Linked DNA regions of Coturnix japonica. The protein of the gene in region 3 binds, or shares a complex with, the protein of the main gene of each other region. Links are inferred from orthologs where the notes say so. Each region holds a gene or a part of one and is shown on either strand. Other genes may lie near its edges. The genes, in order: FNIP1, LAMTOR2 and LAMTOR5.

Region 1 (3,747 bases), on a different chromosome or scaffold from region 3:
TAGTGAGCCTGTGGCACACAGGTGTGTCCTCCATCCAGAATAAGGGGGAAGGATGCATCTGAACATTGGTTCCTGCTTTCTGTTACAAGCATCAACTTCTAGCGGATGAAAACCAGAGATCCTGCAGGTGGTTGTGTATCTTATGCACAAAATATCCTTGTTTAAAAGCATTTCTAATGTAACATTATGTCACATGCTGACTTAGTTTAATTCCATTTTCCAGGGAAAGCAGATGAGTCAGTTCTATTTAATCAGTTCCTAATTATTTTCACTTTCTGCTAGTCTTGTATCTTAACAAGTGAGACAGTGAAGGAGGCTGTTAACTGGACCCATTGGTTTAAACCTAATAAATGCTTCTGCAAAAAATGCTCCCTTTGGCTTGTGTTTGGTCTGGATTCACATGTGGGTTATGTGTGGGTTACTATGTCCTAAATGCGTTTGGCAGATGGATGTTTTATGGGTACGATGGCTTCCCCTGCACACAGCACACGTGGCTGCCTTCCTTCCTCCCAGCTTGGAGTGCTATTTCTGTCTGTGCTGGGGGAGCCCCCCACCCTGAGCAGGCCTGGATGAGATGAAAGGTGGGAGGAGATGAGTTTGTTCTTTATTTCCAACCCCAAAGCTTGACCTGTCCGAGGAGATCAAACTGAAACCTGTTTCCACTTTCAAGGAAAAGTTTCTTAAGTGCTGCAGGTTGGATGTAAGATAGAGTTACTTCTCTCAAAGAGCAGCTGAGCACCGGCACAGGCCGCCGTCCCTGAACTGTTCCGGAGCGGGGCGACGTGGCACGGGGGCACACGGGCAGTGGTACGGTAGGTAGGTAGGTAGGTAGGTAGGTAGGTAGGTAGGTAGGTAGGTGGGTGGGTAGGTGGGTGGGTGTGGGTCCCGGCGGTGTTTCCCGACCGAGGCTGTTCCACGGGCTCTCGGCCCCTCGTGGCCTTTCCCGTGCAGCAGGAGGAGCCCGGCCCCGCTCCGCCCCGCTCCGCCGCTCCCCGGCCCCTCTCTCCGCTCCCCACCCGGGGGCTGCGGGCTCCGCTTCCCCCTCGCCCTGCCCACGTGGGGCCTCAGCCACTCAGCGTCCCACGCAGCGCCCCGCCGGGCCCGCCCCGCCGGCCCTCCCCTTCTGGCAGCGCCGAGTGACTAATTTTTGTCATATGACTGTGACACCGAATGGAGTCGGGCGGGCGGAACTAGCCGCGGCGCGGGGACGGCGCTGCTCGGAGCCCGGCGGCGGGGGGCAGCGGCGGCGGCTCCCCAAGATGCCGCCCACCCTGTTCCAGAAGCTCTTCAACAAGAAGCACGGCCTCAGCTCCCCGGCCAGGGACGCGAGAGACGACTGCGTCTTCAGGTAACGCGGCGCCGGGGCCGCCCTCCTTCCCCCCCGCCCCGAGCTCGGGCTCCCGCTCCGCCGTAGGGGCCGTGCGGGGCCGGGCAGCGCCTCTTCCCCGCCGCTCCTCCGCCATCCGCCGCCGGGCTCTGCCCCTCACGGCGGCCCGGCCCCGCCGCCCTCCTTATGGCCCCCGGGGCGGCCCTGCGGGGGCTCCCGACGTTCCCTCGGGGGATGCTCGGGGCCGGGAAGGGGGGAGGATGGTGAGGGAGGCCGGCGCCATGCCGCTCGTCACGGGGCTGCGAGCCGGGAGGGAGCGACCTTAAAAACGTGAAGAAAAAGGAGGAGAAAACGTTAAGTCGCTGCCAAGAGAGGTGTAGGGTTACTGGTGAAATCTGTCACGATCTCACCGCGACGGCGCTGGGTCCTCGGTCGCAGCAGTGGGGCTGAGGAGGGGCGGTGGGATCCACCCGGAGCTCCGTTCGGGGCCGTCGTGTGGGAACGACTCGGTTTCTGGGCTTTAAAATAGAGCACCCCGCACTGGGAAGCCACGCAGCCCCCTCTTGGCTGGAGGGACAGAAGGTGGCCCTGAGAAATAGTTTTAAAGTGCAAAGTTTGCAGTTTGAGTGTGGACCGAACGTTGTGCGAGGCGCTGCTCCCATCTGCTGCCCTGACAGCCCCACCGGGAAGGGGACACCTGAGTGCACGTGGGGATGTGATTCCTGCACCCGCTGCTTCGGGCGGCTCGTGGTGCTTGTGCTGTTGTCGGAGCATCGCGGTGGTCACAGAGCCCTTGTGTGGTCAGCACGCAGCTTGGGCAGCACCTGAAGGCTGGTGCTGCAACTCATAGAGCTGCCTTCTGGAGATGCTGCTCTCCTCTCTCTCCTGGCTGTGGTAGTGGCTCCTTTAAAATATACGTACTTTAGGAGACAAAGCTTTTTAACGATGTCCGTATCATCTGATTCTCTAACTTAGCTTATTTCTGAGGTCAGGCTCCTTGCTGGGGAAGGGACACCAGGGCTGCAGACCCCAGGCAGAAGCATGTGGATCACAAAGCAAAAGCTCTGCTGGGAGATGCCTCTTCTTCCTTCTCAACTCACAGCGTGCCAAACTGCATGTGGACGTTGAAGATATGTCACGCTGTCTGCTCTGCCCTCCTCCACTCACGTAGTGCTGCTTCACCGTGTCATGGGAACCGTCAGCTGCTGGTAGATGCGCAGTTGTTCACTTGGTGCTGATGGTTGAGGTGTAGGATGGGGCTGTGATTCCAAGAGCCAAGTGCTGGATTTCAATGGCCTGTAGGCACATTGCCTAGTGGCTTCTTTTGCTTTCCAACTGGGGATAAGTCTGGAGTTAATCCTCACTACACATGGCCGCGTTGGTTGTGGGCAAAACTTATGGAGAATACACAAAATACTGTTATTTATGATAGCTGGGTTTTGGAGCCTGGAAACCAGTTTTTGTCTGCTTCTGTGCTTCTAGTAAGTACCGGGGCATCAGTGTCATTGCCTTCAGTGATACAAGTGTATCTTCATGGATACTTCATGTTACTATTGGTTTATATTCTCAGTAAGGAAACCTTTTCCAAGTATACCGCGTGCTGTTGCTGTTGATTGCCTTCTCGTTGGTCCTCTTAGCGAGAAACTGTGTAGAAAATACCTTACAATTATATAAATTCACTTAATATATTTAGGGGTTGATAAGGAGAGAGAAAAGTCCAGCTTCTATGGCAGTGACATCTGTATAGCAAGTGGTTTTAGGATTATTTTAATGCTTTTTTTCCTCTCTTTGACCATATTCTGCCTTTCCTTCAGACTTATTGTGAACGTTTACTAAAGCGTAAGTTCTACTGATCTCAGCTTATGTTGTTTCAACAATAACAGAAATTACCTTTTCCTCTGGAAGCTTTTCCTTATTACTTTTCTTTCTCCTGCCCAGAATCCTTTTGTCTCAGGTGGGGATGTGACACGTTGAGGCTGAGTGCAGCAGCACTTCAGAAGCAGGTGTGGAGAGGCTGCCCCTTCCAGGGAGGTGCCCAGTAAGTCAGCAGCTGCAAAGCATTTGCTGATGTCTCACTTTGTTTGGTTTTTCTTTCCCCTGTATGTGAGAAGCAGCTTTAAGATCCACTACATATTGGTATTTTAACCTGTCAGCTTAACTGGTGACAGTCAGCAGAGCTGATCTTCAGACTGCACTCTCCCCGTGCAGCCAGGTGTTTGTAGCAAGAGCAAAAACATTCCATGCTTTTATAGTAAAATATGTTTACAAGAAACACCTGCATGTATTCCAGAGCAGAGACAACCCTTAAGCTCTAAGGTGTCGAGTACCAGCTGTCTGCTGCAAATAATACTCACGTGAGTGGATTTTCCCCAAGGGTAACTTCTGCTATAAATAGGATCCTTGGCCATGCTGTGCATCTG
Region 2 (3,426 bases), on a different chromosome or scaffold from region 3:
AGTGCTGCTCATATCTCCCGGCTGCCGCCCGGTTTCCTCCTTCCCTCCGCAGAGCTCAGAGCGGGGCGGGCTGCAGGGGGTGGTGAGGGGGGCAAAGTCTCCTCTGTGTCGGGGTGTGAGGGGGGTCCCAGCAGTGAGGGGGGTCCCAGGAGGGAGCGCGGTCGGGGAGTGAAGGCGACGCGGGCGGCGCAGGGAGGCCCAGGGCGGCTGAGTGCAGGCTGGGAGCGGCAGCGCAGGTTGGGCAGGTAATGTCACCCCTGGAACCGTCACGGGGCACCTGGAGGAGGAGCCGGGCCCGGTCCTGGCTGCCAAGGCCACGCGGCGCGGGGCAGCCTGGGGCACTGGGGCCCTGGGCTCAGCATGGAGCTGGCCGGGCACCAACGGCCGCCTGCACCTCTGCTGCCAGCACAGAGAGATGGGAACGTGGGGGAAGCAGCCCCAGCAGGGACAGCACAACGCTCCCAGCTGCACCACAGACCCCTGGCTGGGTGCACGGCTGACCCCGTCCCACCCTTCCACCCTGCACTGATCTGACAGACACTCAGGACACGAGCACCACACGTGGCTTTATTTCCCCTCCCCTGCTGCCCAGCAGCACAGCCGGGCTCACAACACGGTTCCCCCCGTGCAGGCGCTGCTCTCAGCCGTGGCAGCGCGGTTCCATGCTCAGGATGCAGCTCAGATGCAGCTCAGGATGCGGCCACCTGCGTCAGCGGCTCCTCCAGGTATTGCACCAGCGCCTGTGCCTGGGGCAGGGATGGTGGTGAGGGGTGCAGCCCCCAGCGCCCACATTCTGTGGGCAAACCCCCGTCCCACCCCAGCACCAATCTGGGACCCACGCAGACAGTTCCCATTTTGATTGCAATTCCTCCCCCATCTCTCCCATCCTCTTCCTCCCGGCTTTAACCCCGTGGCTCTTTCACACCTCACCGTAATGCAGCCCCCCACCCCCTCACCCCCATCCCCTCACCCCCATCCCCTCACCTTGGCTTTCAGCATCCCAAATCCCACCGTCTCCTTGGCGTACATGCACAGCAGGAGGTTCGCCACGCGGGTGATGGCCACGCGCCCCTCCTGCCGGAGAGAACCGGGGTCACACGGAGATTCAGGGGGTCACAGCGGGATTTATGGGGTCACAGTGGGATTTATGGGGTCACAGTGGGATTTATGGGGTCACATTGAGATTTATGGGGTCACATTGGGATTTATGGGGTCACACTGAGATTTATGGGGTCACACTGAGATTTATGGGGTCACACTGAGATTTATGGGGTCACATTGGGATTTATGGGGTCACACTGAGATTTATGGGGTCACATTGAGATTTATGGGGTTCACACGGACCCCTTGGGCTCCCACACAGAAGCTGCTGCTGAACACCTCGGATCCCACTGTGGGTGCTGCTGTGGGTCCCGCACACCGGGGGTCCCGCATGGATCCCGTGGGGTCCCGCAGCCGTTCCGTACCATGCAGTCCATGAGGATGAAGCGCAGGTTGTCCTCGTTGAACGCGTGGTGCCCGTTCTTGTCGTAGGCCACCCAGATGTTGCTGGCGATGGCCGCGGTCACGCGGGCGTCCGTGTCTCCGTATCCCGAGTAGGCCAAGAGCGAGCCCTCATTGTTCAGCAGCCTGCAACGGAGCGGGGAACGGTCAGCTCCGGGCCGAGCCCCGCCGTGACGGTACGGTCACATCACACCGCAATGACCGTACGGTCGCACCGCCCCCGGCCCCGTCCCCGCTCACAACGTGCTCTGGACGCCGCCGGTGTTGGCCTGGCTCAGCACCTGCGTCAGCGCTTTGGGCCGCAGCATGGCAGGCAGCGCGGGGCGCGGGGCCCGTTCCCGGTGTAGGCCGCCCCCGTTCGGTGTTTGCTGCCGTTCGGTTCCGTTCGGGGCGGTTCCGCGCTCCGTTCCGGTTCCGGTTCCGTCGCCTCTCGATCCTCCCCGCCGCCAGGGGGCGCTGTGCTGCGGCGCGGGCCGTGGCGGCGCTCTGTCCCGGCCTTTCTCTGTCGGCCAGGGCTGGCGGGGCGGGCGGCGAAGATGGCGGAGCCGAGTGGCGGCGGCGGGCCGGGCCCCGGCGGGTCGGAGCTGGGAGGTCCCGGCGGGGCGCTCATCCGCGTCACGGTGAAGACCCCCAAGGACAAGGAGGAGATCGTCATCGCCGACGGCGCCTCCGTGCGCGAGGTGGGGACGGGACGGAGGACGGGGCCTAGGCCTGAGCGCTGCGAGGGGCCGCGGGAGACACGGGCCGCGAGACCGAGGAGGGTGCGGAGCGGGAAGGTGGCGGGAGGGGTTGGGCGAGAATTGGAGGGAGGAACCTCGGGGGTGTGAGGAGCCGGGGGGGGGAAGGTTGTGAGGGGCGGGAGCGGAGCTGGGCTGAGCGGAGCTGGGGCCTCCCCGGCCATGGGGGGCGTGGGGCCGGGGTTGGGCTGCAGCGGAGTGACGGCGTGTGTTGTGCGGGAGCCGAGGGGCTGGAACCCGCCGGGGGGCGAGAACGGGGCGTTGTCGGGGCGGTGCGGGAGGGGGGGGCGGGATGTGCCGGTGGGAACGGGAAGGGGGGGCCGGGAGGGGTCTGCGGGCTGGGGGGGGTGTGAGGGGCACGGCCCGGGGGTTGTGCTGCTGGTAGTGGGGGTGTTGTGGGACAGCGGGGAGGCGCTGCGTGGGGCGGCTGGGCCTGGAGGGATCAGGGATCTTCTCCCTTAGGGCCCGGAGATGCCTCAGGTCAGGGCACATGGGGGCGCGGCTCCGGGGCTGGCAGGAGCTGCTGGAAGAGCAGCGGGAGCTGCAGCTTGGGGAGCTGAGAGGCAGCGGGTGGGTGCTGTGATGGGACGCGGCCCTGGGGCTGGGCTGCGGGGAGCTGTGGGGCAGTGGATGTGTGCGGTGGGGCTGAGGCCAGAGGCTGCTCTGTCCGTCCTTCTCAGACCTTTCATTTCTGCCTTTGGGGCAGAGGGAGAGTGAAGCAGAGGGAAGGGGACGTCAGACATGTGGGTTTGCTGTGAGCAGGGAGCTCCACAGGGGCACTGTGTGTTTGCAGGGCAGCAGAGGGTTCACAAGAAGCGTTGTGCAGGTGGCAGTGCCCGCCGGGGCAGAGTGGTGTCAGTGCTGTGGATCTTGGCTGTGTGTGTGTTTTGCTGTGTACTTTGATGTGGGCTTCAGGGCACGAGGTTGCAGCGTGTGCTGGGAGCTGGGCAGGAGCTGTGTGCTGTGCGTGGCCCTGCTGCTTCCCAGCCCTGTGCTGTCAGCGTGCAGAGCAGCGGGTGAAGCTTCACGCCCTGGGTCACTTCAGTGCCAGGGGTCCGTCCTCCCAGGCCCAGTTTTTCGGGAGTTCTGGACCATGGCAGCGAGCTGCCCCAGGAAAGCTGTGATCTTCTGCTCCCAGCCTTTCCATGTGGATTTCCTGAACTCTGTGGCTTCCAAATGCAAAGGT
Region 3 (3,747 bases):
GAGGGTGAAAATAACCCAAAATGGAGCTCTGGGACAGGCAGGATATCCAGTATGGGGGGGATGCAATGGGATTGGAGTGACTGGTGACGATTCCAACTCAATCAAGAAGGGGAAAAAAATTGAAAGAGAAATAAAACTAAGAAAAATCACCACTGCATTTCACTTCCCCCATCAATAACATTTTAATTTTCCAGCCTGACATGATAAGATCCATTGCCAGGGCTGAGCTGGATGCGTTTCAGCCATCAGTCTCAGGCTCTGATGGCTCTGCCATCCATCACCTCCTGCACACTGAAAGCAGGGCACGAATGGCTGTGATACAACACTACAGCCCCACGTCCTCTGTGGGAGTGGGTGTGGGGCCCTTACAGCTCTTTGGGGACAAATACAGGGCATAAAGAAAGGTATGGAGCTGTGTTGGGATGGACAGGATGGGTGTTAGGAAAAGGCTGAGCACCAGAGGGAGGTGGGCATGGCACAGCTCCACAGGGCAGGGGCACCCAAAACCATAGGGGTTGGGTGGAGGGAGTTGGACTTAGTGGTACCTGTAGGTCCTCATTGACCAGTGGTTGACTAATGGTTAACCAATGGTTGACCAGCTGTTGACTAGTGGTTGGCTTCTGGTTGACCAGTGCTTGCCCAGCAGTTGACTTGTGGTTGGCTAATGGTTGACCAGCAGTTGACTAGTGGCTGACTACTAGTTGACCAATGGTTGACCAGCAGTTGACCAATGGTTGACCAGTGGTTGACCAATGGTTGACCAACAGTTGACCAGTGGTTGACCAGTGGTTGACCAATGGTTGACCAGCGGTTGACCGGTGGTTGACTAGTGGCTGACCAATGATTGATTAATGGTTGACCAGTGGTTGACCAGCAGTTGACCAGTGGTTGACAATGGTTGACCAGCAGTTGACCAACAGTTGACTAGTGGTTAACAGTGGTTGACCAATGGTTGACCAGTGGTTGACCAGCAGTTGACCAATGGTTGACCAATGATTGACCAATGGTTGACCAATGGTTGACCAGCAGTTGACCGGTGGTTGGCTAGTGGTTGACCAATGGTTGACCAGCAGTTGACCAGTGGTTGACTACTAGTTGACCAATGGTTGACCAATGGTTGACCAGTGGTTGCCCAATGGGAACATACCGGTGCTGCTCAGGGCGGTTCCCGTACATTGGCTTCGCTTTTTGGCCCTGCGGAGCCACCGTAGCGTGCATCACATGACCGACGCAGCTGCCAGGAGCCGCCGAGAAGGGCGGAAGTGAAGGCGACAGGGGGGCGGCATGGAGGGGAGCCTGGAGCAGCACCTGGAGGACACGTACGGACCGGGATGGGGGCGGCGGGACCGAGGGGCTGGGGGGGGGAAGGAAGGCAAGGCCGCGGGCTGGGGGCTGGGTGTAGGCCGGGCTGACCGCCGCTTCTCCCGCAGCATGAAGAACCCGGCCGTGGTGGGAGTCCTGTGCACCGACTCGCAAGGCCTCAACCTGGGGTGTGAGTATGGGAGCGACCAGGGCAGGGCCTGGGTTAGGGGTGGGCATGGGGACACACATAGAGCCCCTATAGACCCCCATAGAGCCCCTATGGACCCCCTATGGACCCCTATGGACCCCCCCCATAGGACCCCTATGGACCCCTATAGAACCCCTGTCCCCCATAGAACCCCTGTGGACCCCCCCGCATAGAACCCCTATGGACCCCCCTATAGGACCCCTGTGGACCCCGCATAGAACCCCTGTCCCCCATAGAACCCTTATGGACCCCCCATAGAACCCCTATGGACCCCCTGTGGACCCTCATAGAACCCCTATGGACCCCTATAGAATCCCTGTCCCGCATAGAACCCCTGTGGACCCCCCCGCGTAGAACCCCTATGGACCCCCCTAGTAAACCCCCTATGACCCCCCCAGTATAAGACCCCTATGGACCCCGTATAGAACTTCCTGTCCACCATATAACCACTGTGCGACACCCCCCATAGAAACCCCTGTGGACCCCCTCATTAGAACCCCCCCCCAAACCACAGAACCCCTGTGGACCCCCCTGGATAGAACCCCTTGGTGACCCCCCATTAGAACCCCTATGACCCCCATAGATAAAAAAAAAAAACCCCCCCCCCCCCCCCTTAGAAACCCTGTGCCCCCCTGGCATAGAACCCCTTTGGGACCCCACCCAGTAGAAACCCCTATGGACCCCCTCCCCATATAACCCTATGGACCCCCCCCATATAACCCTATGGACCCCCCCATAGAACCCTATTGACCCCCCCATAGAACCCCTATGGACCCCCCATAGAACCCCTGTGGACACCCCATAGAACCCCCCCCATAGAACCCCTGTGGACCCCACCCCCAGTAGAACCCCTGTGACCCCCCCACATAGAACCCCAGACCCATAGAATCCCTGTGGACCCCCCATTACGAACCCCTATTACCCCCCCATAGAACCCCGTATTGGAACCCCCATAGAACCCCCCATAGAAACTCACGCATCGCAATGCGTGTCTGGATGCATACCCCCAAAGAACCCCCCCATAGAACCCCTTGGACCCCCCCCATAGAACCCCTGTGGACCCCCCTGCATAGAACCCCTGTGGACCCCCCTGCATAGAACCCCTGTGGACCCCCCATAGAACCCCTATGGACCCCCTTTGGGACCCCCCCCCCATAGAACCCTTATGACCCTCCATAGAAACCCCTGTGGACCCCCTGTAGAGCCCCTGTGGACCCCGCATAGAACCCCTTATGGACCCCCCCATAGAACCCCAATGGACTCCCATAGAAGCACCAGCACAGGTTGCCCCTAGCTAGATGTGGGTGCTCTGGCCCTGGAGACACTGGAAGTCAGGGATGGGGGCTGTGAGCATCTGCTGGAGCTATGGGTGTCCCTGTTCATTGCAGGGGGGTTGGGCTGATGGCCTTTATATGTCCCTACCAACTCATGTGATTCTTTGATCTGGGGAGGTACTACATCAGCTTACAGCAATAAGGGAAGGAAGTGGGGATGGGGAGCTGCCTCCCATCACGGTGTGCGTGAGTTCAACCCACATCTCCCCTCTTGCAGGCCGAGGAACGCTCTCAGATGAACATGCTGGAGTCATCTCTGTGCTGGCCCAGCAGGCAGCCAAGCTCACCTCCGACCCAACCGACACTCCTGTGGTGTGCCTGGAGTCAGACAGTGGGTGAGCATCCAGCCCAAGGCTGCTGCTCTTCCCTTTTTCCCCACCCCAAATCTCCAGAGCAGAGCTCTCCATCTTCTATTTCACTGGCAGAGCTGGAGGAAGCCCCATTGCTGAAGCTGTGTTGGGAGGGGGGTATGAAAAGAAGTCAGATTCATGGGACCTCAGGCTTTGGGAACTGCAGAAGCAGCTGGAAGCCTTTCAGGGGCTGGTGGTTGCTGCAGCACTGTATTTCTTTTGCTTTTTGGATCCCCATGGATTATTTAGCCCATGCTGTAGTGTCGTTTTGGTCAGCAGGACTCCATCATCCCCCTTTGTGGGAACAGCTGACAGGTCTGGCACTGAGCTGCCCATCTGGTTTCCCAGCCAAGTCAGCTCCTGCTCTCCCAGCTGGTTTCTCACCTTCCTCTGACAGCACTTTCCTTGCTCTAGGAACATCATGATCCAGAAGCATGACAGCATCACCGTAGCAGTGCACAAGTTGGCATCCTGACCGTGGCATCCTGATGCTCCATTCCCTGCTCCAGACCAGCTCCTCCTCATTCTCCTTGGCTGTTCCAATGCAGAACAC

The links.
Region 1: LAMTOR5 (region 3) and FNIP1 share a complex: the UniProt entries of both Homo sapiens proteins name them as parts of the lysosomal folliculin complex. The link is inferred for Coturnix japonica from reciprocal best matches to the Homo sapiens genes LAMTOR5 and FNIP1.
Region 2: LAMTOR5 (region 3) and LAMTOR2 share a complex: the UniProt entries of both Homo sapiens proteins name them as parts of the ragulator complex. The link is inferred for Coturnix japonica from reciprocal best matches to the Homo sapiens genes LAMTOR5 and LAMTOR2.

The regions. Positions count from the first base shown.
Region 1 is NC_029528.1:1,525,150-1,528,896, forward strand, and holds the start of FNIP1 (folliculin-interacting protein 1), read left to right. Parts: upstream 1-1,137; 5' UTR 1,138-1,154; coding exon 1,155-1,348; intron 1,349-3,747. UniProt on the Homo sapiens protein: Binding partner of the GTPase-activating protein FLCN: involved in the cellular response to amino acid availability by regulating the non-canonical mTORC1 signaling cascade controlling the MiT/TFE factors TFEB and TFE3.
Region 2 is NC_029540.1:79,350-82,775, reverse strand, and holds LAMTOR2 (ragulator complex protein LAMTOR2), read right to left. Parts: upstream 1,936-3,426; 5' UTR 1,812-1,935; coding exon 1,744-1,811; intron 1,630-1,743; coding exon 1,467-1,629; intron 1,075-1,466; coding exon 985-1,074; intron 747-984; coding exon 690-746; 3' UTR 548-689; downstream 1-547. Other genes in the region: RAB25 (ras-related protein Rab-25), read right to left, coding at 1-12; UBQLN4 (ubiquilin-4), read left to right, coding at 2,040-2,183. UniProt on the Homo sapiens protein: As part of the Ragulator complex it is involved in amino acid sensing and activation of mTORC1, a signaling complex promoting cell growth in response to growth factors, energy levels, and amino acids.
Region 3 is NC_029541.1:1,788,808-1,792,554, reverse strand, and holds the start of LAMTOR5 (ragulator complex protein LAMTOR5), read left to right. Parts: upstream 1-1,184; 5' UTR 1,185-1,284; coding exon 1,285-1,319; intron 1,320-1,430; coding exon 1,431-1,492; intron 1,493-3,061; coding exon 3,062-3,179; intron 3,180-3,608; coding exon 3,609-3,669; 3' UTR 3,670-3,747. UniProt on the Homo sapiens protein: As part of the Ragulator complex it is involved in amino acid sensing and activation of mTORC1, a signaling complex promoting cell growth in response to growth factors, energy levels, and amino acids.